Lepisosteus oculatus: one gene and its partners. The protein of the gene in region 1 purifies or fractionates together with the protein of each later gene. This does not show direct contact. Links are inferred from orthologs where the notes say so. Each region holds a gene or a part of one and is shown on either strand. Other genes may lie near its edges. The genes, in order: kcmf1, abhd10b and acot9.1.

Evidence for each region.
Region 2: the proteins of kcmf1 (region 1) and abhd10b purify together in Homo sapiens (affinity purification with mass spectrometry; 3 studies listed by BioGRID and IntAct, counting the BioPlex papers as one, with this or other methods). This does not show direct contact. The link is inferred for Lepisosteus oculatus from reciprocal best matches to the Homo sapiens genes KCMF1 and ABHD10.
Region 3: the proteins of kcmf1 (region 1) and acot9.1 purify together in Homo sapiens (affinity purification with mass spectrometry; 3 studies listed by BioGRID and IntAct, with this or other methods). This does not show direct contact. The link is inferred for Lepisosteus oculatus from reciprocal best matches to the Homo sapiens genes KCMF1 and ACOT9.

Annotation. Positions count from the first base shown.
Region 1 is NC_090698.1:23,487,555-23,498,117, forward strand, and holds the start of kcmf1 (E3 ubiquitin-protein ligase KCMF1), read right to left. Parts: upstream 5,070-10,563; 5' UTR 5,055-5,069; coding exon 4,811-5,054; intron 1-4,810. UniProt on the Homo sapiens protein: E3 ubiquitin-protein ligase which accepts ubiquitin from an E2 ubiquitin-conjugating enzyme and then transfers it to targeted substrates, promoting their degradation by the proteasome.
Region 2 is NC_090700.1:5,878,720-5,889,446, forward strand, and holds the start of abhd10b (abhydrolase domain containing 10, depalmitoylase b), read right to left. Parts: upstream 4,670-10,727; coding exon 4,573-4,669; intron 3,091-4,572; coding exon of another isoform or gene 3,045-3,090; intron 2,230-3,044; coding exon 2,046-2,229; intron 1,311-2,045; coding exon 1,199-1,310; intron 86-1,198; coding exon 1-85. UniProt on the Homo sapiens protein: Acts as an acyl-protein thioesterase that hydrolyzes fatty acids from acylated residues in proteins.
Region 3 is NC_090700.1:4,387,449-4,397,911, reverse strand, and holds the start of acot9.1 (acyl-CoA thioesterase 9, tandem duplicate 1), read right to left. Parts: upstream 4,453-10,463; 5' UTR 4,352-4,452; coding exon 4,329-4,351; intron 3,880-4,328; coding exon 3,785-3,879; intron 2,405-3,784; coding exon 2,378-2,404; intron 1,661-2,377; coding exon 1,615-1,660; intron 309-1,614; coding exon 138-308; intron 1-137. Other genes in the region: diamine acetyltransferase 1, read left to right, coding at 7,264-7,329, 7,913-7,964, 8,517-8,600, 9,757-9,858, 9,946-9,986, 10,219-10,389. UniProt on the Homo sapiens protein: Mitochondrial acyl-CoA thioesterase. Catalyzes the hydrolysis of acyl-CoAs into free fatty acids and coenzyme A (CoA), regulating their respective intracellular levels. Regulates both mitochondrial lipid and amino acid metabolism.

The DNA of each region.
Region 1 (10,563 bases):
TCAACACAGAGTTGACTGTTTCTGTGTGAGAAGATCCAGAGAGCTCCAAGACACGACTGAGCAAAGTTCTGAATTTGATGCTTTCTCAAAACTGTTCCAGCAATTCACTGTATTGGATTGTGGAGTGCCATACAGTATATACTGCCAGGACATACCACACAAGAAACCACAGTGCTTCTGTCAGCTGACCTCTCCCGTGCCCAATTTAACATCTATTAAAGATGTTAATCTGCAGCAAAAGTGCCATTAAATGTTTCATAAAAAGCAGAACTACAACTAAAAGTCAATGAGAAAGGGAACATGACAGAGTGCACCACCGCCATGCAAAATGTTTACAGTGTTCCCTGCAACACTGCAGCAGTCATTAAAAAGCCATAAAGAATTTTACACACTCTTGAGTTTTACTTTAGTCGAAATACACCTAGATCATTTCCTTTTACTGCCTTCCATTTAAATTAAAACCACTGGTTTCATTAGTGGGATACAGACTAGATACTGTACAAGCATGTCAAACATGTTTGGGTACTTTTGGAATAAAAGAAAGAAAACTCTGTACTTCTACAAATAGATGGAAAAACTACTAAAATTCAAGCAATTAAATGACAAACCTGATTTCTGAGTTGGAAAGGTTTTATGAAGAAATGCTTCCACAGATTAAAATGTATACCACAGAACTCTACAACCGTTTCTGTAGGTAAGCAAGAACGTTATAAAAAAGCAAAGTCTAACTGCTTCAGAGATCTGGAAGAACTCAAGGCTTCTGATTTTGCTCCCAAACTTACAAACTAGCCATGCAGGTTTTAAAGACCTGGTACCAATGTCACTTCAAACACATAATTCAATTAAGCAATTAAAGACTCAGAAGATGTTGCAAGAACTACCAGCTATGGAACTATAGCTAAGCTTGGCAGGAACATCAACATAAAAAAATCCAGGGTGTATAGCCTACCTTTAAGACAACAACAAAGTGCACACGGACAAGTTTAATGCAGAATTTTAATTGCTCCCAAGTAGCATGGCTGTGCCTGCATCACAGGGTGGGCCTGCTTTAGCTATTCTGACATGAAACCTTCCTGAAGAAAAGAAATTCAGCTAAGTACCAAGATTCACACAGAAACGATACTTCACGGTTTTGTGTTACTGGGCACTGCTCCACTATTTAGCATGGCATCTATCCAGTCTCTGTGCAACCTACCCCAGACTTTGTTTTGCTCAATAATACTGCTTTAATACACTATCATAGTAATTTTGCTTGATATTAAATCGCAATGTTATTGGCACAATTATATGAAAACATACAATGGTTTTTCAGTCTAGAATACCTTGCAATTTCTGAAAACCGTGCAGAATGAACCTTCAAGCTGATATATAAAATTGATCACCTCCTAATATCTTCAACAATGTACAAAAAAAATCACAAAAATAAAACTTGAGGAGATAAACCACGCTGTTCTCTCGTAGACGTTATGAGACAAAGATAGGGAGTGTGCATGACAGATCTTTAACTCATCCTTTATACAGTTAACAAGTAAATCTGTATTGTGACTGCAAAACACAGCCAACTGAAGATGATGCTTTTAAAACCTGAAAAGAATGTTCAACACATCCTAGAAAAAGCTATTAAGAAAAAAAATGTAAAACACTTGACTATCAGCTGGAATTACTACAAATTAAGCACATGCTATTCAAAGACTGAATGCTTTCTAAGGACTATATTTTTTTACAACGAAGGTATTATCTACTTTGTCTAAATTTAAAATATATACCATATTTCAGTAAACTGAGAGGCATTGCATGTGTGAATGTTCAAGCAAAAATACTATCGGAAAAAAACTTAAAAGTCTTCAATTAACTTCACTTAAAGACGGTCAGTGAAAGTATAGGATACCATGTGGACAAATCCTCTGTAGTATTAGAATTGTAGATTTATTTTGACAGTAAAATATTAAACTTTGCTCCATTCATCAATGCACAATTATCCTGAACTAAGAAATATGATACTGCACCCAGTTCTTCAAAGTATTTAAACATATACTAAAAATGGGGCTTTTGGACATCTATAACTCCAATAACTGATTTATAAAGCTACTTCCCAACAATTAAAGTGTACACAATCGCCAGCATCAATATTAAGAAAAGCATAAGAAAAAACGCTCCCACACCTCTTTAGTAAGATATCTAAATAATATATACACTAAGTTGTAAAAAGCACAAAAAAGTAAACTGATTTACTGACAACCCATATAATTTTAGTACAACTTGGGAACAAGTTGCAATAAATCAGGCTTGGAGAAAAACAAAAAGTTTTTCTAAAATCAGCCTGGCACTTTGATGTATTCCTTCTTCCAGCATTTAAAAGCACCCTTTCATGTTGTCTCAACAGAAATGTTGGCAAAAGTGTTGCATTTTTTGCCTTTCCAGATATTCTTCCCCAATAGCCAGAATCAAATACACTCCTTAACTGAATTTAAGAAAGCACTGACACAAAAGCAAAGGAATTTTTACTGTGACAAACAACAAATCTACCACAGATACAGAATGCTGTTGAGGACCATAATAGTACTGTTTGTGATGAAAGAGCTGTGAGCTAGCAAAGTTAGGATTGTATAAAACAAGTTTCAGAAATCAGACCTCCTTCCAGAAAGCTGCAATGTAATTGGGACGTTTCAAGCATTGCAATAGGGATGAAACTTATTTTAGAATATCTTTCCACTTTCACAACATTTGTGCTTTGGGCCATATTGCACTGAAAACAAGCAAACAAGCTCAGACTTAGCTTGTGTCCTTTATAAAAGGGGTTAAATTACAGTACTTATTTCTACATCTCTACCACTGTGCCTATTGGGGTTTTTTTGCATCACAACCCACATATATTCTACAGTGGTTGATCACTCTGACTAAGGTCTGCAAGTCATCGTTTCATGGTAAACAGTGCCATTTACCCAAAATCTGAAAGAGAACAAATTCAGTAATGAGGCAAATTAAGTATATTAACGAAGCAGAGATTATTGGAAGAACTTCTTCAAAAATGTGGAAGGGATTCAATCTTTAATATAACGGAAGTTCAGTAAAAACCTGGGTTAAACTAAAGTTCTTAATTTCAGAGCTGTGAATCCTGGTGAACACAAAATCTTAATCAGTTTAGTAGATCTTTAATTCACTAAAATCTATAATTAAATACAAATTGAGCAGCTGAGTCATTCAATCATAATGGCCAATGCCTCCTGTAATTCCTTGATTTAAGGTGCACAGATAAAACTGGTCTGGATACCAAATTAAATACCACTTGGATGTTTTCGCATCAAGTGGTGTCTTTTTCGTTCATAAATTACCACTTTCAACCTATACATAAGCAAAGCAGCAGTCTAAACCCAGGATCAATGCTTATTAATTTTTTATGTCACCCATTGCACTGAGGCTGGTAAAAAAAAAAGAACTCTGAACAACTTGATCAACTCTTTGCTTTTCTGGATTAGTCAAAAACCGTTCACTGATGTGGCTCATGCAGTTCTTCAGAAACCATTTACATGTGCAAACGCTGGATTTCGGTTGCAAACACGCCTACCCCGCAGATATATCTAGGTCTCTCCCACTACCCAGTCTTCCAAATATTTCATAGCATGAAACAGCACTGCACACACACACATGAAACGCTGAATAACCGGAACTACATTCATTAAGGTTTATTTTTTTCAGATTTGGCTAAGGTTTAAACACAGATTCCTCCTTGTGAGCTACGATTTACTGTAACATGCTTAGTAAAATATAATTCCTCTTCCTCCAAAAGTTACCCTGCAATATCACAGCGATTATAAACTATCAGTATCGTCACTGCAACCCCCAAAATAAAGAACACAATGTTTAAGGGGGCTTATAATTTTGAGAAAGGCAAAGGATTCAGATGGTAGTAAACTGCTTGTACAGCTGATTATGTAACAAGACAGCCAATACCTAAGTTAAAAACTCATCTGATACGTATATTACTTGTGAAGTATATATATAAAAACATGTCAATGCGCTATTAACTCTTAAACGAAATTCACCTTTTCTTGATACGTAATCAGTAAATATCGACAGCCTATTGAGAAAGAAGATTAAATTATGAGCAGTAAAACACAACACCATAACCAGAAGTAACTTAAAACTCCCCAACAGTCCAGAACAGGCAATCTCTTGTTGAAACCCAGCCTTAATATTTTGTTTTTTCCCAGAGTCGGTATTCGACAAAATGAAACCCGAAAAGGCACAATAAAGCAACACCCAAGCAGTAAAGCGGTCTCGATATTTCCTTGACAAATTCAAAGCGGTGGCTCAAAGACGCACCGTGCCCTGTCTGCTCTCGGAGTAGTAGGCCTCTGACAGGCCTCATCCTTGCATCGGCCACCTTGATGACAGTGCAATCAGCACCTCAGTGGCCGGGAGTCCAGGGGTGGGGGGGGAGGCTCGGAAAAATCCACGATTTCACCCCCGTAGCGACATCCGAAGAGGCACTACCTGGGCCTTCTCCGAAAGCTCGCAGTTCGCTCGTTTCCGTGCTCTGCCTCCCAGCAGGGCCGGGGCTCTGCCGGTTTCGACCCGAAGGAGATTTATTTGGAGGCTCGTCCTTGCGCTTACTCGGCGCAGTCAGGCTCCGGCTAGTTACAGCCCGAGAGAGAGGGGGGTTGGGAAAAAAAAGTGGCAAATTTTCATGGCGGCCGCCATCATGCGCCTCTTCCAATGCATTTCAATACAAAACATGGCAACCCCCTCCGCCGAGCGCCGCCGTCTTCGTCCGTCTCCCTCTTTATGGCACCCATTTTTCCCCGCTTACCTTCATGTCGGGACATCCTACAGACGCTGACACAGCCCCCTCCTTGGGCTCCCTGGCACGGATCACACAAGAAGATGCCGCTTTTGAGAAGTGAAGCCGGGACTCGCTCTCTCTCGCCTCTTTTCTCATGAAGATGGATCCGGAGCACCCAGCTCTCTGCCTCCCCCTCGCAGTCTGTCACTGCTGTGCTGCCGGAGCGCTGGAGGACTCCGATCGAAACGCTAGAGGGCGCGCCTCGCCCCATGCTTCCCTACTGACCTGGACAAGGCGAGCTGGCTGCTCTTTACTGAACGAGTCCGGAGCAGCGCGGAACTGGCTACAATCTGTCATTTTTTTTAACAAAACTTTATTCAGTGAACTGAAAAATTACAAAGCACCAACAGCGCCGTACTTACATTTTTCAATAACATCAGAAAGTTTTAGTAGAAGTTGGTTAAAATGCACTCCTGAATTAAATTGCTACCCATGAATACATTGAAGAAAAATATATTTTATTGTCATTACACTTTATATTTCGTCTTACAAATTTAGATTTTTCAGTCTATGGAAGTCATTATGTATCAAGATTAATAATAACCCATAAATCCTTGTGAAAACTATTTTGTATGTTCTGTGTGCTTATATCTCTCAGGGACAGAAGTTTATTTTACCGCGTTGCGCGGATGAGTATTTTTTGTGTGCTTTTTTGTTCGTCTCCTTTACATAACATTGCTACGCAACACAAAAAAATATGATGATATGTCGCTTCTTTAAACTTTTTTTTATACACATACTGTATGCAATCGTATATTCTAAGACTCATCTCATACTTCCAGACCTTTTAATCAGTATTGTAATCCTAAAGCATGTAGCATAAATATCTACTATTTACATGAGCAACTCCTAGGCCCCATGTGAAAAAAAAACAACAACAACTTGTCGTACAGTATATGTTTGTGTTTGTCCTGTTTTAGAACATAAGCTTGTTTATCTAGCCTGTTTAAACTGGTAATAGTTAATTAATGCCCTGATTTCTTTCACGTTATCAGCTATAAAAAAACGTGGCTGAACTGCTTGTTCCATACAACCCTTTGGGTAAAGAAGTGCATCATGTTCTTGGTTTTAAATTGCTTCCATGTAATTTCCACATGTACCCACTAGTTCGGATTTCTGCTTGAAGGCTACTTGGTCTAGTAGTGGTAAGGCTGAGTATATCCAACTGGTTGTTCGTTGTAATTATTCATCAGATACCTTTATGCACTATGGCATAGTAGTGTGGTGATGGTCATTAGGGCCTCATGGCTCTAGAATTCTCTGCTCATTTATGGGCTGGGGTGCCTTCTGTGTGGAGTGTACATGTTCTCTGCATGGGTTTACTCCTGGTGCTTCAGTCTGTGTTCACCTCACAAAGACATGCTGATATGTGGGTTTGTTATTCTAAATCGCCTGCTCCACAAAGATATTTTCATGAAGACGCTCACATATTCATGGGCATCCTGTAGACTTCCCTTAATAACAGACCTTACTACAGCACCTTGTGGAAGGAAGTGGATTCCTTGTTGGTAAGAAATTCTAAACAGCTCATTTCTTGATACCCAAGAATTATAGTTCCTCCCATCTGATCATTGACACAAGTGCTTCAATATCGACCTGAAAGTAATAGAATTGTGCATGGAGACCTTTAATCAGTTCCTAGTAGGAATTTGTTTGTGTCCATGAACACGAGCTGAAGGAAACATACTTCCACCTTCCCATTGTAAAGCACTACTGGTACTGTACATCTCCATTTTGCTCTCAATGACTTAAGTACTTACATTTTTAACATAGGGTCCGCTTCTTTGCAGTGCAAGAAATTAAGAGCAATGAAATGAAAGAAAAGTTGTTTCAGGATTTAAGAAATGTCCTTTATTACTTGGATACAGCAGTGGAAGCCCATTGCTTGCCAAATTACCAGTGATGTGCATGTCACACCCTGAGCCATGTTGCCACCACTGATGCAGAGGAAGCTTTCATTTCCCCTGACTCAGTCAAGACCTCAAGAGCAATATCTGGAAAATGCCAGGCACCATGGAACAAATAGCAGCAGCACATCAGTGCCAGACCTGATCAGTGCAATCTTTGGGTGTTTCTTCTAGGTACAAAACATTACATGGTTGCACTCTGTCTACCATACCATGGGAAAACAGGAGTTACTGTTAAGAAGAAGAATCTAACTCTGTGTCTGTGATGGCCTTGGACTGTCATAATTTAAACCTGCTAAGACTAACTTCCTTTTCAGTTCAGTGTATCAGATCAATTTGCCTGTGGTGGCATGACGTCAGGCTTGTGAGTTCTACACACCCATCCATTCATTTTCTGGCTGCTTTATCCAATACAGGGAAAGAGGGGAGGTGGAGCCTGTCTCAGAAGACAAACAGGCATAAAGCAAGTATGATTATGCAAGACACAAATATTTAAAAAAAACACAACATCAGAGGGCACGCACAAACACAGACACGCACACACTCACACCAAGGCCAATTTCCCCAGAAGCTATTTAACCTACCAGTATGTCTTTGTAATGTAATCCGGAGCAGCCAGAGGAAACCCATGCAAAAACAGGCAGAGCATACACACACCAAGCAGACTGCGCCCTAGGAAATAAAGGAATACTAAGCAATACAATATTAATCAGTTCTTGAAATTACCACCAGATGTCACTCTTTTCTGTAAAAATAACGGCTTTACTTTTTCTTTCTATGAGAGAGTTCTCCTATTAGTACTGGGTAAAACCCATCAATAGAACTGACAGAATAGGAAATACCACTACAGCTGCTGACACAATTAGGCATCATAGGAGACTCATAATCCCATCACAGTTATCAAGAACCCCTATAATTACTACACCTCTTCTCAATATTGCTGTGCTGCCCAACTTCAATTTGTGCATCAACATGGGTGAAATCCCACTGTATGCTGGCAAAGGTAAGTGTTTTCAGATTATTTGTGGTTTGGTGTCTCATTTAGCAATGAAAGAGCACACTGATAAAACTTAGCAAAGAATTACAGTGTTGGGGAACTTGGGTGTGGATATTAGGAGTTGGCTTCTACTTATCAGTGGTGATCTCTAGGCAAACATTTACTGTATGTTGAGCACATTGTTTAGGGCCCACCATCTCAATCATGTTCAACTACACACAGCAAGGCTCACTAAAGACCTGACACATCAACTGGGGATCAGCATGTACAGTAGTAACACATCACTGGATCTTAACACAAGCAAACATTCTTGCTCAATTTTTCTAGCTATAAGAATTAGCAATTTCTTTGTAATTATTGTAATTACCGGCAGTATTTGTAACACCACTGGTTAGATTTCATAACTTCAGATACATTAGGAAATTACCTTTCTGAAAGTTTCTACAAACATTAAGGTGTAGACAGTACAACCACTCATTACGTGACCCACACAGCCTGTTGAACATTATATATAATTTCAAATCAGTTCTAAAACATTGTTAATATTGTGCAATTCCTTCAAATATAACCATTATTGTTTTTTAGGTTGGAAACATATTTTGGATGCTATTGCACATGTAAACTATTATAAAATTATATAATAAATTAATGGAGATGATGTTGTTGTACATAAATCATAAAATTTGAGCAATAATAAAATCTGAATGCATATTGTCAGTATGCATTTTCTGCAAAGGAGCAAGTAAAGTGAAAATAAAATTCTACTTCTTTTTTGCATGGAATAGTAAAAATAGAAAATATAAATTTGACACTTTATCATCTAATTTACTATAGACATGATTGCTGCTACTACTACTAACTTGAATAAATCTGTGTAATCACCGTAAAAAATTAAATTAGTCAGTTTAATTTAATAACCACCGACTGAGCAAAATGATTTTAGCAAATGACATTTTTCAAATGAAAGGTCACTGTTCAAATCAGGACACTATTTCCTGTGCCTAAGACTAAACCAAAGAACAGAACATTAGAGAAAGATGAAAGTTTATCACAGTTTTTCAGGGTACATCATTTTTTTGTTCATCGCTAATTACATTGTGATTAGCCTTAGCTGCTTCCATAGCTGAAATCTCCATGAATAAGACTGATGTTCATTAAAGGCACTTAATGTGGCTCTTGGGTCTTGGTTACATTTCAAATGGTGTAACTGGCAGTAAATCATTTTGGAAATACCACTACAGTTCTAACTGAGAAGTCCAATCCTAGCTTTTAATCAATATAATGCAGTGCTTTCATTTTCAGCAGCAACAGTCAAAGCTGTTCTTAAATGTTTTTTATGCATTGATAATGTAGTAATATACAGTGCCTTGCGAAAGTATTCGGCCCCCTTGAACTTTTCAACCTTTTGCCACATTTCAGGCTTCAAACATAAAGATATAAATTTTTTATTTTATGTGAAGAATCACCAACAAGTGGGACACAATTGTGAAGTGGAACGAAATCTATTGGATTTTTGAAACTTTAACTAATAAAAAAATGAAAAGTGGGGCGTGCAAAATTATTCGGCCCCCTTGCGTTAATACTTTGTAGAGCCACCTTTTGCTGCGATTACAGCTGCAAGTCGCTTGGGGTATGTCTCTATCAGTTTTGCACATCGAGAGACTGAAATTCTTGCCCATTCTTCCTTGCAAAACAGCTCGAGCTCAGTGAGGTTGGATGGAGAGCGTTTGTGAACAGCAGTTTTCAGCTCTTTCCACAGATTCTCGATTGGATTCAGGTCTGGACTTTGACTTGGCCATTCAAACACCTGGATACGTTTATTTGTGAACCATTCCTTTTTAGATTTTGCTGTATGTTTGGGATCATTGTCTTGTTGGAAGATAAATCTCCGTCCCAGTTTCAGGTCTTTTGCAGACTCCAACAGGTTTTCATCCAGAATGGTCCTGTATTTGGCTGCATCCATCTTCCCCTCAATTTTAACCATCTTCCCTGTCCCTGCTGAAGAAAAGCAGGCCCAAACCATGATGCTGCCACCACCATGTTTGACAGTGGGGATGGTGTGTTGAGGGTGATGAGCTGTGTTGCTTTTACGCCAAACATATCGTTTTGCATTGTGGGCAAAAAGTTCGATTTTGGTTTCATCTGACCAGAGCACCTTCTTCCACATGTTTGGGGTGTCTCCCAGGTGGCTTGTGGCAAACTTTAGACGAGACTTTTTATGGATATCTTTGAGAAATGGCTTTCTTCTTGCCACTCTTCCATAAAGGCCAGATTTGTGCAGTGTAAGACTGATTGTTGTCCTATGGACAGACTCTCCCACCTCAGCTGTAGTTCTCTGCAGTTCATCCAGAGTGATCATGGGCCTCTTGGCTGCATCTCTGATCAGTCTTCTCCTTGTCTGAGCTGAAAGTTTAGAGGGACGGCCAGGTCTTGGTAGATTTGCAGTGGTCTGATACTCCTTCCATTTCAAGATGATCGCTTGCACAGTGCTCCTTGGGATGTTTGAAGCTTGGGAAATCTTTTTGTATCCAAATCCGGCTTTAAACTTCTCCACAACAGTATTACGGACCTGCCTGGTGTGTTCCTTGGTCTTCATGATGCTCTCTGCACTTTCAACAGAACCTTGAGACTATCACAGAGCAGGTGCATTTATACAGAGACTTGATTACACACAGGTGGATTCTATTTATCACCATCAGTCATTTAGGACAACATTGGATCATTCAGAGATCCTCGCTGAACTTCTGGAGTGTTTGCTGCACTGAAAGTAAAGGGGCCGAATAATTTTGCACGCCCCACTTTTCATTTTTTTATTA
Region 2 (10,727 bases), on another chromosome or scaffold:
TGCCCATGAGCGCGGCCGTCTTCTCCGGCCGGGCGATGGCGGCCAGGAGCATCAGCCAGCCGCCCATGCTGGATCCCACCAAGACCTGCAGGACAGGGAGAGAGAGAGACAGAGAGTGGGAGGGGAGGGCCCCAATCACAAGACCTGTAGGACAGGGACAGGGACAGGGACAGGGACAGGGACAGGGACAGGGACAGGGAGTGGGGGGGGAGAGCCCCAATCACAAGACCTGCAGGACAGAGAGAGACAGGTTCCCACACCTGCCAGAGTCACAACGGGTCCCAATCCTACTGGGAGAGGGAGGAGGGAACTCCGTTGATCTGGCAGCCCAGTATGTGATCTCCTGTCACAGCCTGAGGAACAGTGAGTCTGTCTCCCAATAATGCTCCAGCCGCCTACAGTATATGTCAATATTTTATAATATGTCTTTGTTGTAAATGTCTGTAATATGTCTGTAGATTTTATTTTACTTCTATTTTTTGTTTTGTTTATTATTTTTATTTGCTTTGGCAACACTGACTGTACCCATCGGTCATGCTAATAAAGCACCTTGAATTGAACTGAATTGACAGAGGCGGGGGAGGGGGAGCCCCGATCACACTCCCAGCACTGCCCCCCGCTCCCCGGAGAGGTCTGGGGGTGACTGCTAGCTCAATCCGGGACGGCTCCTTCAGTACGGGCCCATTGTGGCTGGGCTCTGCTTCACGCCCACTCGCCTCTGAACATTCAATTCAATTCAACAAGCTCTACTGGCATGGCCGAGGAATTACAGCGCTGCAACAGCATATGCAATTGACACAACATAGACAGACATTTACTATACAAACACATCATAGGACATTTACATACAACGTACAACACATAGAACATTACCTAGAGATGGGCTTAATGTTTTCCAGGCTGGGACAGGAGATCACACACTGTATTATAATTACGGAACAAGCAAAGGTTTATTCCATGGTGAAAAGAAAAGAGACGCAATGTTTCGGCTGTGGAGCCTTTTTTATCTTGTGGAACCTGAACTCTTTTCTCTGCTTGTTCCTTTTGTAGCCTACGCACACGCTGATGCAGCTACCTACTTAAACTTTTCTAAATCTTACCGTCTGCTCCTCAGGCTGGGACGGGAGACCACCTACCGTCTCCTCTCCCGGGAGGACTGGGAGCTGCTCTGAACAGACTGACCGGAGGCAAGACTGACCTGGGGGCCTTCCGTGAGCTCATCCAGCACCGCCAGCACATCCTTCTTCCAGGTGCCTATCCTGCCCTCTTCAAACACGCCTTCCGATTCCCCACAACCTGTGTAGTCAAACCTGAGAGAAAGCCCCAGGGGGGGGTACATATCACAGGCTGGCATTCTGACCCTACGTCATTGCGGAATCGGCACAAGTACATGTTATTAAACGATCGCGCCCCCCTGCTATGAGCAATGGTGCTGTTTTTCTGAGGTATTATCAATTATCATTGTTATAATGGGTTAGCTTCTCCAGATCGGGAGCCATATTTATTACAACATCCAGCTTAAGATATCTCATTTCAGTGCGTCAGGTTTACTGCAGCCTTCGTTTGAAACGGCCTGACCCCTTGCCGTAATTACAGACAGCCAATCCGGTCCATGGTTTACACATGACCCTAAACACGGCGGGGTGTTAACTGCTTCATTAAAACATGAGCCAGACTTGTGTGGAAGCCTCAGTTTTCTCTGTTCTTGGTGTTCCTCATTTTCTTTTTTTGCTTGCCACCTGTAGAAGCGATGTTTTTCTTTTAGCAATCATTACACCATTACATCAAACACTGCACTGTCAATGCATTACCTATTTGAAACAGAGGGCAAAGTTTAAGCACTGCAATACCTTATTCAAAGGTTACCTTCACTGGTGCCCGGGAGAAGGGAGCTGGGAGGTGCAACTTTCAGTACATGAGAAGGACATTCATACGCATATCTGAACAGGCTGTGTTATTGTTAAACTGGAAAACAAACAAAAACTGCTGTTGCTCCAGTAATCCAGGATCATAAGACCCCACTCTGGAGTTCTAAAATGAATCACCTTAAATACGAATGGCCTAGCGACTTGCAGAAGTCTTCCAAGGCCACTGCTTTCTGTCCATTCATGGTGGAGGCAAACCCTGGCAGATACACCACCCCTGGACTCTTGCCTTTCACTTTCTGGTAGGCCAGCTTCGGGAGGTCGGGGCGACTTAAATACTGCACTGAGGACTTGTGCCTAACACCTTCAAGGAGAAAAACAACAACAACAACAAAACTGATGAGCTCTTAAAAGGGAAACTTGAGTTGAACAAGTAATCACTTTTGCTTTGATCCTAAGCCTTAATTTGACACAAGTGTTTTTTTTTCCCCTAGATGATAATGAAATATCTTCTCCTTTGGGTCGGTTTATTCAATTCAGTTCAAAATACTTTATCACAGGTCAGACACGCACCAGCACAGGATGAGAAACGGAAATCAAGCACTGATAATTACGATACTCCCCCAAACCAAAAGGCTTTCTTCGTGCATGTAATGTAGGCATAGTTATTTACAGGAACTGTCTCACATAAGGGTTTAATTTCACCATAGTTAAACACCGACAGCTGAACTGGAATGTTAGTGCTTTGCTGCAGATGTCACATTCCAGTAAGGTAAAAATCTCATTTTCACAACCTAAAAGGCCACAAAACAGGAAAAACCAGAGGTGGTTAAATGAACAAAGAATCTATTGCATGATTCCTACTGGTTTTCACTTGTGAGACGTTTCAATACATGTACAAAATTAGAAAGGATCCTATGAAGTATTATAAAGTATCACTAAGGTAAAAATTAATCTATGGTGGGGAAGGATGTACAGTATAAGCTGAGTGAAAGAGAGCAGCTGATTGTGGGAAACAAAGGCACACAGTATAGCCAGGTTCTGAACCCCCAGGCGCAAGGTAACTAGGCTCTGGGTGGGCTGGCACCATGTGAAAACCATCCCCTGGCTTTTCTGTGGATGCTCTAGTTTCAGCTGCCCGTGGGGCTTCATACCGAGAGGCAAATCTCTGTACTGTACCTGCCGCAAACTCAGCCACCTCCCGGCCTTCCCCACGTTTCCCATCCTGCGCAATAATAAACAGACGCACACTCAATCTTCAGACACGGCTAAAATCACACGCGCCGTCTCGGCTCTCGCGATCAGGGTCGGCCTGCGGCAGACTGCACTTCTGCTGCCAAATCTCGCCTTAAACACGTTAATGCCACAGGAAGGTCTATCAAATGAACTTGGCTTCACTGACATGCGGTACATATACTTCTCCAAATATTTCATCCAGAGAAGGGCAAGACCTTCTGTTCGAGCGAACCCGGGACAGTTTCTTTAAAGCTGAAGGCCACCAGGCTACACTTCACTGCGTCAAACCACTGCAAACGCGACACCCCACACGCCAGGACAGAGCCTTTTACCTTCGCTGTAGTGTACAAGTCTTCCACACGTGTCAGTCCTGTCTCACGCTTACAGCCCACATTGGTCCTGAGACCTCCTCTTAAGACACTCCAGAAGGACACCCATAACCAAGGGGATATTTTAAATTAAACTGTTTTGTTGTTTTTTTTCATTGCAAGTATGCAGACAGATACACAGAAATATAATGTCATTTTTTATGACTTTTCTTAGGTACCCGGAAAACCCTCAGTTATAAACCGTAGCGAACTTCCCGAGTCCAGCACCAGCGTGGTGAAGTGTTGAGAAACACGGGTTCCTGTGCAGTTTACTGAAAGATTAGTCATCTTCAGTGTGAGCATAGCAATGGTGTCTGTAGTCCCCGGCTGAATTTATCATAAAAGACGTGACAACGACATCGAACCCGGCGCTGTCCGATTTTCGGCCTTTATTGTTGTCTCCATGTTCTAAACTGTAACTATTTTGCCGAGGCATTAAAACGTTGTTCCCTTTCCGACGGTAGGCGATAATAAGGAGATTTCCGACGTACAGCAGAGCAGTCAGACTGAACATAACCGAACGAAAACAAACATCGCGTTTCTTCCCCCGCAGCACGGAGCGCTGAGCCAACGGCCCGGGTCTTTACAGGACCATCCCCCTTTAAAACCTTCAACCAGCGAGACTCGCACTTTCCTCAAAAACCGTCACCGGCAACGCGAATCGTCATCGGTCAGCTTCCACGCTTCCGATAGACGTCCTCCCTATCGGATCATATTTTTTTCCCGACTGCATATGAAATGACGAGGTGATGTAGAACAGCGTTTTAAATGCACAGCTAACCGTGTTTGGTGTTACACCTCCAATTAAGCCGCCCAGACTAGGACAATCTAAAGCAGGAACAGACAAGGCGCATTTATTATTGTTTTTGCCGGATACACGCTGCGTTTTTACACATTTTATTACAAAGAAACGTTAATCTGGTCTGTTGGAAAACCGCTTTAGGGAGGAAAAAGTCGCTCCCTGGCCTTCTGGAGCTGCCTGGGCCCCTAACACTCCCCCTGCGATCTCTCCCTTCCTCCTCCCGACAGCGACGGATACTTTCCACCCCCCGTGTTTCAGCAACGCGAGCTGCGTGGCCGCTAGCAAGGGCCAGAGTACTGACCGCCTGCACTGCTGGACGAGGGCGCCGTCCCGCCGCCGCCATGGCCTCCGGTCCGCAGGAGTCTTCTGCAGCACCTCCCCAGCGCCACGGCCGCCATGCTGGATCGCAATTCCCGGCCCAAACACCGCGAGAGGGAAGAGCCGCGCGGAGCGAGCGAGCGAGCGAGCGAGAGCCAGGCGCGCGGACCTGAAAGTGAGAAGGGAAGGCGCGTGAGGCACGAGGGCAGCCCAGCGGCTGGTGAGCAGACTGGTCCCCTTCGCCTCGGGTACAAGACCGCTTATCTAAGAAATGGGCTTTTCAGTTCATATCTGCCGCCACCCGACATGTTTTAGTACTTTGTTGTTGAGGAGGGAGGGGGTGTGTGTCATGCGCTCGTCCTGGCTGCAGGTATAGGGTCACAAATTCAGTCCTTGACTCAAATTGTAGTTGAAGAAGTTGAGTTGGGGAGCTGCGTCAGCATGCGTAGGCTGCAAAGGATCAGATAAAGGTTTATTCAAAGCTGAAAAGAAAAAAAGGGACACAGTATTGCGACTGTGGAGCCTTCTTCGTCTGAAAAGAAGAAACTCCAAAGAAGAGACGTCGTGTCTCTTTTCTTTTCAGCATGGGATAAACCTTAACCTTTTCCTCTTCGCGCTTAGGTTGTTCCACTGGAACAGAAAGGAACCCACAAAGTAAATACGATGGATCTAGTTGGAAAAGCTATTGTAGGGTTTGGGAGCTTCAGATTTTCCGTTGTCTGTTCAGGTACTGCAAGGTTTGCTTTTAAAATATTCCGGAACCGTTTTACAAAATCTCATCTGAAACCATGCATCTTTTTTTTTTAAATGGAAAACGAGGTTATTACGGTTTTAATTCGGGACAACCGGCAACCAAATCCTCAGTTTTATTTGCATAATCTGTGCACGTGTTAATTCGCATTCCTGGAGTCACATGTGAACCAAACGTACTTTATTCAAAGTAGCTACACGTTTCCAGTTTAAGCAGTTCAGGGCATTTTTGGAATGAAAAGATATACAGGAAATCTCCACAGGGAGGTTGTTTTAGAAGGACAGGCTCTTTCTTCTGATACTGGCTTCAGTTATGGGGTTGTAGCTTCTCTCTGCCTCTGTTAATATAATTGGCCTGAACTCTATATTGCGGCTAAAATGACAGGAAATAGAAAACATACGTAGCCGGGATCAAAATGAGAAATTATTGGAATGCGACTGTTTGAAAGCTAAAACAATATTTAAATCTAATTGTCATCATAAGTTTTTTTTTTTAGATTGATCAGGAAATTAACTAAAATTATTAGAACGACTGCTTCTGTTACGCTTTTAAGTCGCTTTCTTATAACGTGGGATGGAAAATTACGCAGTAATCGGGAATGGAGTCATCCAGAGAAAACGCCGTGTTTGGCTTTTTTTATCATCAAACGGGAAATTATTGTTAATAGCAGCGTTGAGGGAGTTCGATAGGTGCGAATCCTAGCCAGAAATAATTTGGGGATCGGCGAGATAACTGCAGACGTTGAATCACACGTCTTTTGGCGTTTAAATGTTGAATAATTATATTGTGACCTTTTTTTATTATTATTAAGGAGTTGTGCGCTGCTCAGTAGATGCGACCACCTTTGTGCTCTCTTTGAGAGGAGGATGAGGGAGGGAGGGGAATTGTTCCCATCTCCAGTGCCGTTACTGTCCATCAGGTCAAACGTGTGCGAAACCCAGCAGTTAGCCTGCCGTGTTATTGGAGGGACGATGCGAGCCAGTTTGCACATGGACGAAGTGCTCGCCGGGGCTTATTTTCAGATGAGAGAGATTTCCGCAAATCTGTGAAATGCCCGAAGTGCCAGACCTCGCCTTTTCGTTCCCGGCTGTTTGCAGTTCGACTCAAGTATGTAACTCCGCCTCACGGCGGGTTCAGGGCGCTGTTTTGGACCGAGGGGAACCTGTGCACAGGCACACATCTCATTTCTGAGAAGCGTGCATTTCTTGCTTAAGTGGACATTTATACGTTTTGGGGGTTTTTTTTCTCTCTCTCTTGATTTCTGTATTTCTAGTTTCCCCTCTTGATGGTGTTCAGTCGCCTGCCTGCGATACTGCGAGTTTTGTTCCGTGTGCGGCTGCACCGACCGGTTGGGAGGGTGGGGGGAGGTGAGGAGGAGACGATACTGTATTTCAAGTTTTCATCTTCGCCCTGAACCGTGGCGGCCCCGAGCAAATCTCTGCTCTCCAGTTTGAGACGGCGCCGTGGAGACGGGTCTTCAGCCGCGGTTCCGAGAGCCCGGAGAGGCGATGCGATTCATGGATGAAGAAGGAGGAAGAGGCGATGCGTTTTTCAAACTCGGTCACCGTTCCCTGCGCGATCTGAGCCGACGGAAGGATTTTTTCTTTCAGCCTAAATCACAATTTTAAAAAAAGCTCCTCATGATGAAAAAGGTAAGTTACTTCGAGAGCGCCCGATGGAAGTGCCTGCACTCCTGCTTGGGGGACGGATGTACTAAATCTGTTTTGTTTTTTTCCCTGTTTCTGAAAGTTGTCGCAGGCTGCGTATTATCATCTAAAGTTCATTATAAAGTTACGCTGACATTAACAATCAGGAGCGTAACTTCGCGTCTGAATTGGGGAAACCTGCTCTAAGGCACAAGGCGTGTTTGGAAAATGGATAGCAAGTGTCTTTTCATTTTCGCGATTCATATTTAAGGCTTTGTCGCCGGCCGCTGAGTTTAGCCGGTTGCCATGGCTACTGCGGGGTGATTGAGGGGCCATCCGGCAGAGATGGGGGTTGAACTAATCTTGAGTGCTGGGCGGGGGGGGGTCAAACTATTCTGTGGCCGCTTGCACAAAAGCACTTCCCGGGCGCCATCCAGGAGACCCCCAGAATCAACTGTCATGCTTCTATCATAGTAGACCTCGACTGCTGCTAATTTGATACTCATTATAAACTTAATTCTCTTTGTGCTCCCCCCTAACGTATAGGCGAATAATCTAATTGCGAGATGCATTCGGACAGCGGTGTTATCCTACGTTTTATAAGAAAGGTTTATGCCGGAGTTTTGGTTCGGTTATTTCATTTAAGAAACGTGAAAGACGTTCAGCCACTACGCTGCCTACAGCTCCCCGGCTGCACCAACGCGACTCGTTAACTTTCAGAAGGGCTACCCCACCATCCTAACGGGGGGCAAAGGATTTGCTGAAGCTCAACTTTCTTCAGCTTTGACTTTAAACTAATTCGGTTTTAATTAAATTGCTTTGGACTGACGTTCCCCTGTTTGGCAACCGCATGCGGGAGCATGTCCCCTCAATTAATAAGTCTGTCCCCTTCTGTTGCTGAATGGTAATACCATAAAACGGCTCAGCTATTGATAGTTTAATAGCTCGCCAGCGGTTTTTAAAATGTCTGAGTGCGGGAGTGAGATCCCGTGGCGGAAAAATCTAGTGTTTGGCAGACACGCCGTTATTTTTAATTATGCGATTAAAAAAAAACAGCCAAAAGGAGAGGGGTGGCCTAACTGTTCAGTGGCTAAGCCTAGGCTCCAGTAGTATTATGCACTCGACGAAAATAACTTTTATAAGTGGGTCAGTGCCATCAGAGGTTACAAGCTACTTTGTCTGAAATTAATTTATTTGGGTCATAAAACAAGCCCCCTGTATAGCCCCTGGTGTTTGAACTGCACTCAGAAATGGGCTCACTGGATAAATGTCATTTAGGCCGGAATAAAACAATCCATATCTGCTTTCCAGGCTGTCAGGCTTCCAGCTAGCTGTGCCTTTTCAGGAACTGGAAGAGCTCTGCACTCTCAAATTATCATCTTCTCCCAGCTAATAACACATGGGAGCTATTCATAGTCCAAAACCTTACTCCAGGAATATGTCTAATAAAATGAAAATGCACTGGCATGTTCAAAAATGGGATTGTGTGCATTTGTGGAATGAAGTTCCATCCTTGTACCTTGATGATCTGGTGTCCAGCCCTTGCTGCCGAACCCCAGACCCTCCTAGAAACTACATGCCACTCTCTAGTATCGATGAGAAGGAAGTCTGGCAAACCTGTCTCGTGCTCAAGAGGTGATTTCCTGGTTGGATGGATCCGCTTTGTGCTCCGCTGTTGTTCTTAAGGAGCTCATCAATGAGAGCAGTAAGAGAGTGCAGGTCTTTGTCTTACCTTCTTAGGTCAGTGCTGACAAGCTGATAATATCAGCTGCCAGTTTCTGTCTCTCACAGACGCTTCATTCTTGTCATCTTCAACAATAGAGTGTTCTGTTTCACAGCCTGAGCAGTAAACCATTCAGGTTGTGCGACATGCAAGCCCCCTTCTTTGGTTCTGGAAATGTTGCGTTCTTTTTGGTTTTAGTGCAGGGATTGTCCCCGACAAATGTCTTATCTGCACTCATAAGGTGGAACATCACATGTCACTCAGATAAACTCAAGCTCTCTTCTATCTGATGTTTAAAGGTGTGCCGATTTTTTTTCAGGTATTAATTACGAGCTGGCCAGCCTTTCGGAGGGGTTTACAGTGGACATACTGGCTTGTGCCGGGGGGGGGGGGGGGTGCACCCCAATACTTTTTGAGATCCCCACTTATTTGTGTTGTAGGAAAATAAGCCATCCTTCAGTTTAACCCCAAGAAATAAAACTTGCAAGGAGAAACCCTCCTTAGCACCAGCACCAAGAAGTAAGAAAATGTCTTTGGTCGTCACCCCCCATGTGAAACCAGAAAACATTCATTCTCCCAGTACCAAACGCGACAGAGTGACCCACCAGTTTGCCTCCTGGTAACCCCCACTATAAGTTTTCTTTGAGATCTCTGCCACAACTGCTAAAACACTTCTCAAGCCAGGCACTAAGCTTCTCAAATATACTGGGCATGTTAAGAAATATTCTATACCTTGAATAATACTCGCATGCAAAAGTAAGAAACATGGAGCAAAACATTATTTTATGGTTATTATAACTTGTCACATTTCCAAACAAAACTGAGGTTGTGCAAAGAATGTTTTTAATGCTCCACAAGATGTGTGTGATTTCAAATGTCACTCTGTTAATTAAAATGCATGTGCTCGCTTTAATAAGTAATAATACAAATCTCTTTTGTTTTTCCAGAGGTTCTCCTTGAAATACATCAGCACTCCAAATCTTGTGAGTATCAAGAATGTCTTCATTATTCTTTGTTATTTTTTGATTTAACTTAATATGATTTCTTAAGTGATTGAATCAGTGCAGTTTTAATTTGTTTGTTAATGAAAGTCAGTCCAGTTATGGGAGAATTATTTCGCTTTACCAGGATTAATTTATATCTGCACTTGTGAACAGTCTTGTTCTGCACCTACTTATTACTTAATGCCTATTTATACTTTGTATATGTTCCTCTATAATCATTACTTAATACCAATGTGTACCTACAATATGTACCAATGTAATTAATACCTACTTAAACTATATATGTATACCTAGTAAATTACTTAACACCAACCTATACTGTATGATGTAATGTATTCATATGTTATGTACCTAATTAAGTATTCAGGTGCAGAATAATGAGCCCAGTGTTGTCAGGTGTGATAAAATCTGCAGAGATGGATCCAGTGATGTTTGGCCAAAAAACATTATTCATGCCAGGCTTTTAAGGGAGGAAAAAAACAAGCAGGATATTTATAAAGAAATGTACTTATATATCCTTAAACAAAACATGCTGTGCTGATTGAGCTAATTTTTAACACATCTTCAATTCAGAATCTGAAGCACAGGCTGACTAAATATTAGTGTAAAAAACTCAACAGGCTAATGACAGTGAAACTGATATGTTTACACTGTGTGAGCAATCCATTATGAATGCAGTGAAGAGAGCTGCTCTTGAAGTAAGCTTAAATAATATACACACTAGCTGCATGTTGTAATATAAAGGTATGTTACAGTTAACTGAACAGCTGCAAATATTTGTTGAAAGCAAAAGCAAACAGTGCTTGTCCAAGGATGAAATGTTTTCTGAGTGCTGATTTGGCTGGGGCATAGTGCAATACTGTTCTAGGTCCTATAGACTGTGAAGAAAAGATCAATTCAAATGATCCATTTGTTTGAAGCTGGAGCAGAGCTCCTCAACTTATGAAGAGAGGCTGATGTATATTGGAATTACAGTGCTTTGCAAAACCAGGTCAGTGTGCAACAGAGTGCCCT
Region 3 (10,463 bases), on another chromosome or scaffold:
CCATTGACAAGCTTGGTTTCTCTACTCGAAAGCTGGGAGATCAATTCACTCAAAGGCCACCTCAAAGGCGTCATCACGTGTAAGAACCATTTCACATGAATCAGTCCATGTGTGAGGCCAGCTGGTTGGTCACTTACCTAACGCTGTTGTGGACGTTGAGGTACTTCTCACGCAGCTCCGGCTGGCTGCCCAGGGGCAGGTGGACCTCGATGTAACTGTCCTTCATCTTGCGAGCGGGCAGGTCTTCCTGGCGCGTGGCCAGCTGGGAGGTCAGGGAGGCGCGCTCCCGCAGGGCCTGCTGGTGGTCGCTGCACAGAGACCGAGCCCAGCAGCAGCACCAGGAAGAAGGAAGGGTTAGTTCCACATGCGACAGCAGCAAGAAGAAACACGTTCCAGCTGTAGAGCCTCCTCCCGGTGTGAGGGAGAGTGAGGAAGGTGGCAGGGAAATAAGTCACAGGAGAGGACAGAGCAGGTGAGAATGGACACACAGGTGAGAGGTGTCCAAACGAAGGGCGATCTGGGGAAAGATGTGTGAAAATTGTGATTTCAGGCTTTCACACCTGTGTGCACATTCTTACCAGCTCTGTCCTCCGTTCTCCTGTGCCTGACATCCCTGCTCACTTCTCTCTCTCTCCCTCAGACCTGAAGCATGGCCTGTTTCTCTTTTCTTCTTTTCAGTGTGGAATTAACCTTTACTTGTTCCTCTGCAGCCAGGCTGCCACAGTTCCCTGCTCGAACCTAAAGCAACACCAGCTGAGTGTAATCAGGGTGGAGCGGTGGCTCTGTGGCTAAGGATCTGCGCCTGTGGCTGGAAGGTTGCCGGTTCAAATCCCGCGGCCGGCAGAGGAATCCTACTCCGTTGGGCCCCTGAGCAAGGCCCTTAACCCTAACTGCTCCAGGGGCGCCGTATAATGGCTGACCCTGCGCTCTGACCCCCAGCTTCTCTCCCTGTCTGTGTGTCTGTGTCTCCATGGAGAAAAGCTGGGGTATGCGAAAAGACGAATTCCTAATGCAAGAAATTGTATAGGGCTAATAAAGAAACATTATTATCATAATTAGTACCTAGACAAGCTACCAAGTCTTTCAGGTCTTGGAGTCTTCATAGGTAAAACACTAGAGGGCAGCATCTAATGACACACACAAGTGTTACATGTTCGAGTAAAACATTTTTTAAATAATTTGTTCAAGGAGAAATCCAAGAAGTATTTCCAAGAAACATGACACATCTAACTTCTATATTTTAAAATGCTCCAGCACCAAAGTTGACTGGAGACACTACACACTGGAGCAATATCTAGCAAATCAAAGTTTCCCAGCAGGTTTTACTGAAACAACAATCACTGAGGAATCGCCCTTGACAGCCACCTGCCTGCCCGATTCATCCTAAACTGCAGAAAAGAGTTTTTATTTCTGAAGGCACCCACATTCGACCTTAATCTAGAGACTGACAGAAAAGTGTATTTAAACAAGAATGAAAAAGTGTCTCTGGGAGGTCAAAATTAATCACATAAATGGCACACTTACACCCAAAGCTTAGCCAAGCTTCTTATTCAAACAAGTTGGAATTAAACATATCATTAAAAATGACCCACAATGAAGAATTAAATACTATACCTCCAGTTAGTTGAAGCTCCCACTATCTGCCTCAGTCTATTCCTAACTGATAAAAAAAAATAATTCATTTACATGAACTGTTGCAAATCCACATTCAATCATACATTCCACATCATTTTCCTTCTTAAATAATTTAACATAAGGGGGTAGAGATAAAACGAAAACAAATTACTTTATTTTTCCATTTAAATGAACACAATCATGCGTAGCAGCAGAGAACTGCTGGGAGATTACGTATTTCACTACGTGAATTTATAGGCGTAGAACACCAACAAAAACTAAAATAACATGGAAATGCAAAAGGCAACAGTTAAAGGTATATATAGTCACCTTATACTTATATACTGTATATATAAGCGCATACATATATAATCATGCAAAGCAAAGCAACAAGCACTGTCCACCCTGATCACTCTTGTAGTGCTATTTACCCACCTCTCAGTAGAAAGAACTTGCTTTCACTGAGAATTTAAAAGACCTGTGCTGCAGGCTGTAAGGAAATTTACAAGGTAATGACATATTCCGTGCAATTATTCACATCTTCAATTTCTCACATTTTCTAAAATCCATCTATTGCCTCAAAGGCAAAACAACAACTGTCAGAAAGGTTAAGTTCCAATCTGCAAATAACTTCCTTGTAAATTCCTTTCCAGTTCAGGGTCCGTTAGGTAGAATAAGTCAGTGCCCAGCTCGTGGCCTACAGTACGTGCAGGTGTTAGATTGTGTTACACATGCTGGTTTGTTACTGTTTTTACCAACACACCATCGTTCACAAGCAAGTGCGAATGTCCTGCAGAAACACAAAAACAAGGCTAAGTCATGGAATGAGGACCAAACTTGAAAACAATGCAGTTTGCAGACAGTAAAAAGTGGAGATTAAAACTATCTGGGAAGCATCTGGTCCCAGGTGTTGTATGTGTTCGGGATTATTCATCTTCTGCACTCAATTTCTGGCAAATCTGTAGCCCCACAAACATTCAATAAAACTCCTTAATTACTGAATACTCAAGTCTTCAAAATGTCAATTTTTCTTAACTTGACAACTGACTTTAATACGGTCCAATGCTTTGTAAAACACCCTTAACCCTGCAGAATAACTAAGAGGAAAACTAAACCAGACATTTAATTTAACAACATTCTATGCAACTCCACAAGTTTTCCATCGAGTCAGAACCACACATAACACTATAGTACAGTACTGAAACCCTATCTTATTTTGGTACCTGAATCCCTTCTAAGAAATATTGATAGCACACAGCCAGTCTTAAAAACATTTTTTTTCTTCCCAAAAACACTGTATGGGCTTGGAAAATCTGTATGGGAATGTCCTTTCATTAATATAACACATTTAGGATGTTAACCCCAGAGTCCTGTCTTGAGTTCTAAAACACACACCCTTCCTAAAATTCAGCTTCCTAAATCAACTGGTGAAGCGGTTTCTCACTCCTCCCCTAGATCTGCTGTGCTTTTGGGGCTGCTGGTGCAGAACGAACACTGTGTGTCTCCCAGGTGGGGCTGCTGGTGCAGAATGATCACTGTGTGTCTCCCAGGTGGGGCTGCTGGTGCAGAATGATCACTGTGTGTCTCCCAGGTGGGGCTGCTGGTGCAGAATGGCCACTGTGTGTCTCCCAGGTGGTGCTGCTGGTGCAGAATGGCCACTGTATGTCTCCCAGGTGGGGCTGCTGGTGCAGAATGAACACTGTGTGTCTCCCAGGTGGTGCTGCTGGTGCAGAATGGCCACTGTGTGTCTCCCAGGTGGGGCTGCTGGTGCAGAACGAACACTGTGCGTCTCCCAGGTGGGGCTGCTGGTGCAGAATGGCCACTGTGTGTCTCCCAGGTGGGGCTGCTGGTGCAGAATGGCCACTGTGTGTCTCCCAGGTGGGGCTGCTGGTGCAGAATGAACACTGTGTGTCTCCCAGGTGGGGCTGCTGGTGCAGAATGGCCACTGTGTTACTCCCAGGTGGGGCTGCTGGTGCAGAATGGCCACTGTGTGTCCCAGGTGGTGGCTACACTTTAGTGAGAAAGGAAGTGGATCCTCTGCTGTATGTATTATAAGCCGTTTTGGGGTTCTTTGGCATGAGAGGTGATGCACAAAATGACTATGACTATATTGCTATGTGACAGAAACCGGAGGTGGATATGGGGACAAGCAAACGCTTGTTTAGTTTACCTTCTGCCATGTCAGGAGACCGTCCCTGTGACCCCGCAGAGCCGGAGGACAGAGCCCGGGCTGCCACCGCGGAGGCAGCGTTCAGTAACCGCAGCCTGAAGAACAAGCACATCGCGTTTCCTGACATTTCCTGAACAGTATCTCACACCAAACACACCAGAGAGGAGATAAATACCGCTCTGTGCGAATACACAGGGCCTTTCCTTAATGAGGGTTTTTAAATTCTGCACTTCATTGCACTTTGACAAATTCTGAGACAACATGCGGACGAGACTGCTCGGTTCTGAGACCACGCCTATCAATGTAATCACTGTTGGACTATTTCACCCCAAACACCTGGAGATTAGAATCTTATTACGCTCCCGTTATTAGAAATAATCTGTATTTAAAGGGCGGTTGATAAAAAAAATGTTATTTACCGTAATGGTTTATTAAACAATGATAAAATCGAGTTTGGTTCACAGTGCAGAAGCTTCACAAACTTGAGAAGAAGAGATAAGGGTGATTCGTTTAAACATGCTCTATGTAATATGAACAGACTTACCTTAGGGACAAGTAAGGTAACATTTCTGTGAAGCAGTAAGAATATAATCTATGAAACACGCCAACGCGCACAGCACAGATGGCTAAAAATGACAGGACTAATAGTTCCGGGTGGACGTGACGTTTCCTATTACGTCATGATTGCAGCAAACCCGCCCTATAAAGTTTACACAAGCGCTGCTTCTGAAGCGTCAAACTGAAACCGAGTTCTTAGTTGCAAAAAGCTTGGAAAAACCCCTTGACAGATATTGCCTTATAAACAAGGTTCCGGAAATACCATTTAAAGGTTTTAGGAATTATCCCGTTCAGCTAACGCTCTCTAGGTTCAGATATAAAAAAGATGATTCATGCGTGTTCTGTAAGACTGGAAAACAAGCGCTTGACACGTTTATCGGTTACCCGTACATACAAAGCTGTTTTAGACAGACTTACGAAAGTTTGTCTTTCGGCATTTAAATGTGAATTTTAAATGTAAGGACTTTGGCATTATGTTATGTTTTGCCAGATGTAATATGATTGAAGAACATTTATGATTAATGTGTTAGTACTACCGGGTAGACATCACCTTCACAAAACAAAATGGTCTCATGCGGCACCCTGCTTTAAAGTTTATAAGATGGAAATATGACTTAAGAAGCAGCATTAATGAGCAGCGTTGTTCTTCATTGTATCCTAAAATGCACAGGGGGTCCGTGCAAGGCAGCTCCAATGGATGGATATACAGCACGTTCACGGATGTTATCAGCGCATCCGGGCTCTGGACCCGCTGGAAACCTCGGACCCCGGACCGCGGCCGAGTGCACCTGCGCGCGCGCTGCCTCGCGGTGACCGGGCCGAGAAAAACACAGGCGCGTGCACGAGCCCTTCTGCGACAGACCGGGGGGAGACGTGAACGAATGTGAGCGAGCAAAAAAAATAAAAATAAATAAAAAAAGAAAACTTCTCGACAGCGCGAACTGCACTACAAACAGCAACAGAAAGGACGGGGAAAGGGGTGATGAAGCAGCCCGTAAAAACGAGTATTGGGACAGAATCGAGATCCGCACCTGGGATGATCGCCGACAGTGCCTTTTGTACACGAATTCACCACCTCCAATAATGTCCTGATTTGTTGTATTAAAAAAAGGTGAAGACACGTTTTTGAGCGGAGTTTTTCCTGACATGTAAAGGCGTTCTTTCACTTTCACCTTTGATTAAAATATGCATTTATTTTTACATAATTCTCCTATTTCAGTGGGTATACAGTACATCACTGTATGAGGCATGCATTGTGAATTATTTTCTAACCGCACTGTTTTCGGGTGAAATGAGGCGTTATCTTGCAAAACAGAGGTTCAAGTTAAAGGGGGGGTAATTGTGCTTCTGTTGTATGTCAAGGCTCAAACTCCTTGCGGACTCCTACGGCGATTTACTTGTGCACTTTGATGTCTTAATAGTACGTCTCTAGATCCATTTGTTGACCCTGCTATTCTGCATTCTTTCTCGAAATGAACCCATTGCTCTTTTCATTGTGTTTCAAGGAGATCACGGGGCATTTGAGCTGGGGCGCCAGTGGCAGATGTGGAGCTCTCGCCTGACAGGGGACGAGCCGGACTCGTCGGCCTGATCCGTCAGGTGGGCTCCAAGCCGCCCCGAGCCGCCCCGAGCCGCCGTCCTTCTGTGCGCTTTTGCGCGAGCACAACGACCGGAAACATCGGAAACGTTTTCTTTAACGATGTTTTTACACCGTCGTTTTTCCCCCCGTTTTCTCCAAAAATCCGAATGGCAAATTTTTTTAAAAAAAAAAGTATATTCCCGCAGGGCGGTAAAACGTTTGCCCTTCTGCGGAGCTGCCCGGCTCTCCGAAGGGTAAGTGACGAGCCATATAGCATTCACAAACACCCCTCGAAACAGGTGGCATTTAAAGAGGAGAAGGAGGGGAGGGAAAGGGGATTTAAAAAAGTACATATTCCACTCTTGTCAGATCGTTGGGGGAGGTGTTAAATGTTTGACAGAGAGCCGCGGCGCTGTGATTTTCCGAGCCCGCCCTGCTGTCTGACACACCGGGGGTGGGGACACAGGTGTGCACTCAAGGTCCTTAATGCGGCCCGCGGGGAGGGGGTCATTCCGAGTCCCGTGACTGGTCAGAACTCTCCCGATTGTTCTAGAACCAGCGCCCCCCCAGATGAGCGGCCCCGCCGCTTCAGCATCGGCGCTGGCGACTTGTTGCCCGAGGTCCTGATGAGACAAAGGGACAAAACGACCCTTCCATCGGGCGTTAAGATCCTCAGCACTTGTAAAAACAAACGGCAAGTCGGAAACAGACACGCAAAGTAAACCCATAAGTACACGGACGTGATATTTTTTAAAATTATGTTTGCGACGCTACAGCCAAACGTGCACTACAGTTGTACAGTACAGTTTCTGTTGTTTTTTTTCCCTAATTGGGGCACCAGGCTGCAGAAGCCAACCGCCCAGAAGAAAGGTAAATTTCCACCGTGCTAACACAGCATTCGCTAGGCCACATGTAACAGTTTGGGTTAAATATTGTTTAAAAAGACTCCGTGTGCACCTTAAAAGGGGGAAAAAAAACTCTTTCGGGCTCTAAAGAGGCGCAGAGGACAAACAACAAAGCACTAGCCCTGAGGTAAACAACAAGACATAGTGACGTAGCGGCCTCGATAGAGATTGTGATTGGTCATCAGACAAAGAGCAGACGCCAAGCACCCGCCCCCTCCCCCGCGGAACCTATAAATACAGGCTCCCGGGTCGGAAGCGCTCAGTCTAGCGCCGTTCCGAGCCGCTGCTGTTGGATGTAATCGGTTCACACGGGGGTCTGGGTCCCAGACTGTCAGCGGAGGGGGTAACACTCCTGGGAGCCGAATGAAGAAACATCTCCTGCTTCTCTTCACATTCAGAGGACTCGTGAGAAAAGGGAAAAAGAGTAAAAGAAGAAAATGGCCAAGTTCATATTGCGGAAAGCCGAGCCCAAGGACGTGTCTGACATACTGCGACTCATAAAGGTAAGTTCCGGTTTGGCTTGTGACGCGTTTTTGTTTTTGTTTTTGGGGTGTTTTTTTTTTTTTGCAGGCCTCTCCAGGCAGACGGACAGTCGGCACCCGTCTTGGAGCACCTGAAAACGTTTCCTTTATTTATCTTTTTTTTTTTTTTGCAGGCCGCGTTTCTTTACGGTTTCTTTCTCGGTGCCGTTACGCAGGTGATAAACGAGGCTGTTTTTTCTAGTCCGACGGCCAGGGTGCAGGCCCGTCTCCCGACGCACCGTTTCCTCTTTATCGGTACAGGGGACCTGCAGCCACGTAAGGAGACGGGGGGGGGGGGAGAGAGGGGTAGGGGGATGGTGGGTGTTTTGACATTTAAAAAACAAATCCTAAGCTCGGGTTGGCGGCGAGTAACAAATGCCTGGAAGTTGAGTTGGCGGTTTGCGCAGGAACTAGTCCCGGGTATACATCCCCTTGACCACCCACACCTCTCCCAAATATCGCTTCCCCAGGCTGGGTCCTGCTCCCTCAGACCGGCAGGTGCGTGGGTCCCACAGCCGGGGCGACCCGGGACTTAACGGGGCTCTTCTGTGGTCTTGTTTTCCAGGAGCTCGCGAAATACGAGGAGATGGAGGATCAGGTCATATTGACCGAGAAAGGTACAGTTTGCCAGCAGCCGCACCGCCGAGCGGGGTAGTCTCTGATCAGACTCTGGGCCTGCATTGCTGGCCATGCAGAGAGAACGGGCAGCACTCCCAGGCCCCTCTCAAGTCACATGAGCCTCCCTGAATTTCTTTCCCATAACGTAATAAGCGTCCCCGTCCATCCCACACAAATATCCATGTAGGCTTGCTGTGTGTTGCTGAATGCTGCTGAAGTGCTACTGCTCAGTCAATCCTCGCTTTGTAGATGGCCGTACAGGGGTGTCCTTATGAAAGCCCTGTCAATCTGTTATGCTAAGGATTGTTTCCCTGTCACGGGGGAAGAGGGTGGTGGTTCGTAATGGGTCGGATTGTAGACATTCAGGTTTGTACTCCCAGCGTCGCTATTTTTGCCCAGAAGCGTTCCCGGGAGCCATTGCTTAGCAATCAAGGAAGTGGCCCAGCTTCTTCAGCCCCGATCTCCCCCAGCCGGCTCGAGGCGTCTCGCTCACCAGCCCGTCTCCTACTCCAGTCTTTTTTTTTCTTCTCCATCCTCCCCGTGTTCCGCAGATCTGCTGGAAGACGGCTTCGGAGATCACCCTTTCTACCACTGCGTGGTTGCAGAAGTGCCTGAGGACCGGCGGACAGCTGAGGGTACTTTTTTTTTTTAGGGAGTATTGCAATTCCAAAGCTCCGCTTTCATTTCAAGTAATGCATGATCACGTTTCCTTGAGTGTGGGTTAAGATGCGATGTGCACTCCTCTTTCAGGTGTGGTCATGCATTATTTGTGCAGTGTGGCTAGGATATCAGTCTGGCTCCTATCTTTAGATAGGACTGAAGTATGCAGTGTCTTCTCTAGCTTTTCTTATTGTTGCAGTTGCACATAGCATTTTATGGGATGTGCAAAAAATGGAATGTTAAACTTGCTGCTGGTACATTAAGATTCGGATGAACGTCCAGTGTTTTGAAGCAGAAGGGTGGCTTTTTTTTTTAAGTTGACCAGATTGCAGAATGTTGACCCTGGCTACTGAGTTTGTAACCCTGTTGAAGTGTATTCTCTCTAATTTATCCCCAATCTTCAGGTTACAGTCTCTTGCTTCGACATGTACACAGCCCTTGGCGTGTACATGGGTGGGCGGGGAGGTAACTGAAAGATCAGTTACACAGTAACATACATGATCGTAACACGCCAGGTAAGGCCCACAGGACTAGCGCCATGCCCCAAACTGCACACGGTAGCTCAGAACATGCCGGCAGCCCTCTCTATTAAGAGGGTGCATGACAGGTCCTGGAGAAGGTTTTGTGCTCTTTTTGTTTTTAAGAGCTGCACACAGGCAAATTCTGTGGCTGTAGAGTTCTTCCAAATTCAAATGTTGGCAGCGATGACCCACACTCTTCACTGTGGAGACTTCAGTTGCAATTTAAGCATTGTTCCACCTCCAATGCAGGTCAAAAAGTTATTCAGTGCGTGTATTTGTAATCCACTGGTATCTTCGATTGGCTGCGCAAGGATGTTTCTCAGTCTTGACTGTATTCACAGTTCACCCTTTTTATATCTAGAGTTTAAGACTTATTCTGAACTGCCGTGTAGATCCGATAGCGATCTTGTTGGTTTTTGCTTCAGGGGACAAATAAGTCAAGCAGTCCAAGTCGGCGTGACTTGAACATGCTGTTTAATTGACAAGTACTGTCCCCCAGAACACAATCATGCATGGAACATGTCCTCTTTCCTCAAATTTGTGGTTGCCCTCTATTAAATGTTAATTTAGCCTGGAGAACCTTCTCTAATTGTCATGACCTGTTTTCCAGGTTATAATGTTGTAGGATTTGCCATGTACTACTTCACCTACGACCCCTGGATTGGGAAACTGCTGTACCTGGAAGACTTCTATGTCATGAAAGAATACAGAGGTAATTTTAAAACTGACATGCTGCTTTAGCTTTTCACGTGGGACCTGTGACTTCGTTGATTGTATTCAACTTGTTTTTCTTTTCCAGGAGATGGTATTGGGTCTGAAATCCTGAGGTATCTCAGCCAGGTAAGGCTGGCTGACTTTTGGGTGGTGGGGGTGACGTTTTTGGGTCCTGTGGTTTACATTGTGGAATGAAGTACTGGGAAACAAGGGAGTGGCCTTTTAGTGTTAAGTGACGTTTCTGGAGCTCCTTAGTCTTGGCTCAGTGGTAGCACGTAGAGATTGTGGACTGTTCCCAAGGGATGGTCAGCCTTGGCTCTGCATGGGGTGTCATTGTTTTTACTTGTCGTTCCGCCAGACCGCAGTGAAGTCGCGCTGCAGCAGCATGCATTTCATCGTGGCCGAGTGGAACAAGCCCTCCATCGAGTTCTACAAGCGGCGCGGCGCCTCGGACCTGTCCCTGCAGGAGGGCTGGCGGCTCTTCCGGATCGACAAGGAGTACCTGCTGAAGATGTGTGCCGAGGAGTGAGGGCCGGATCCGTGGCTGGGAAAACCGGGAGCCCTTCCATCTGGAAATGGGAGCTTTTTAAAGCTATACAAACC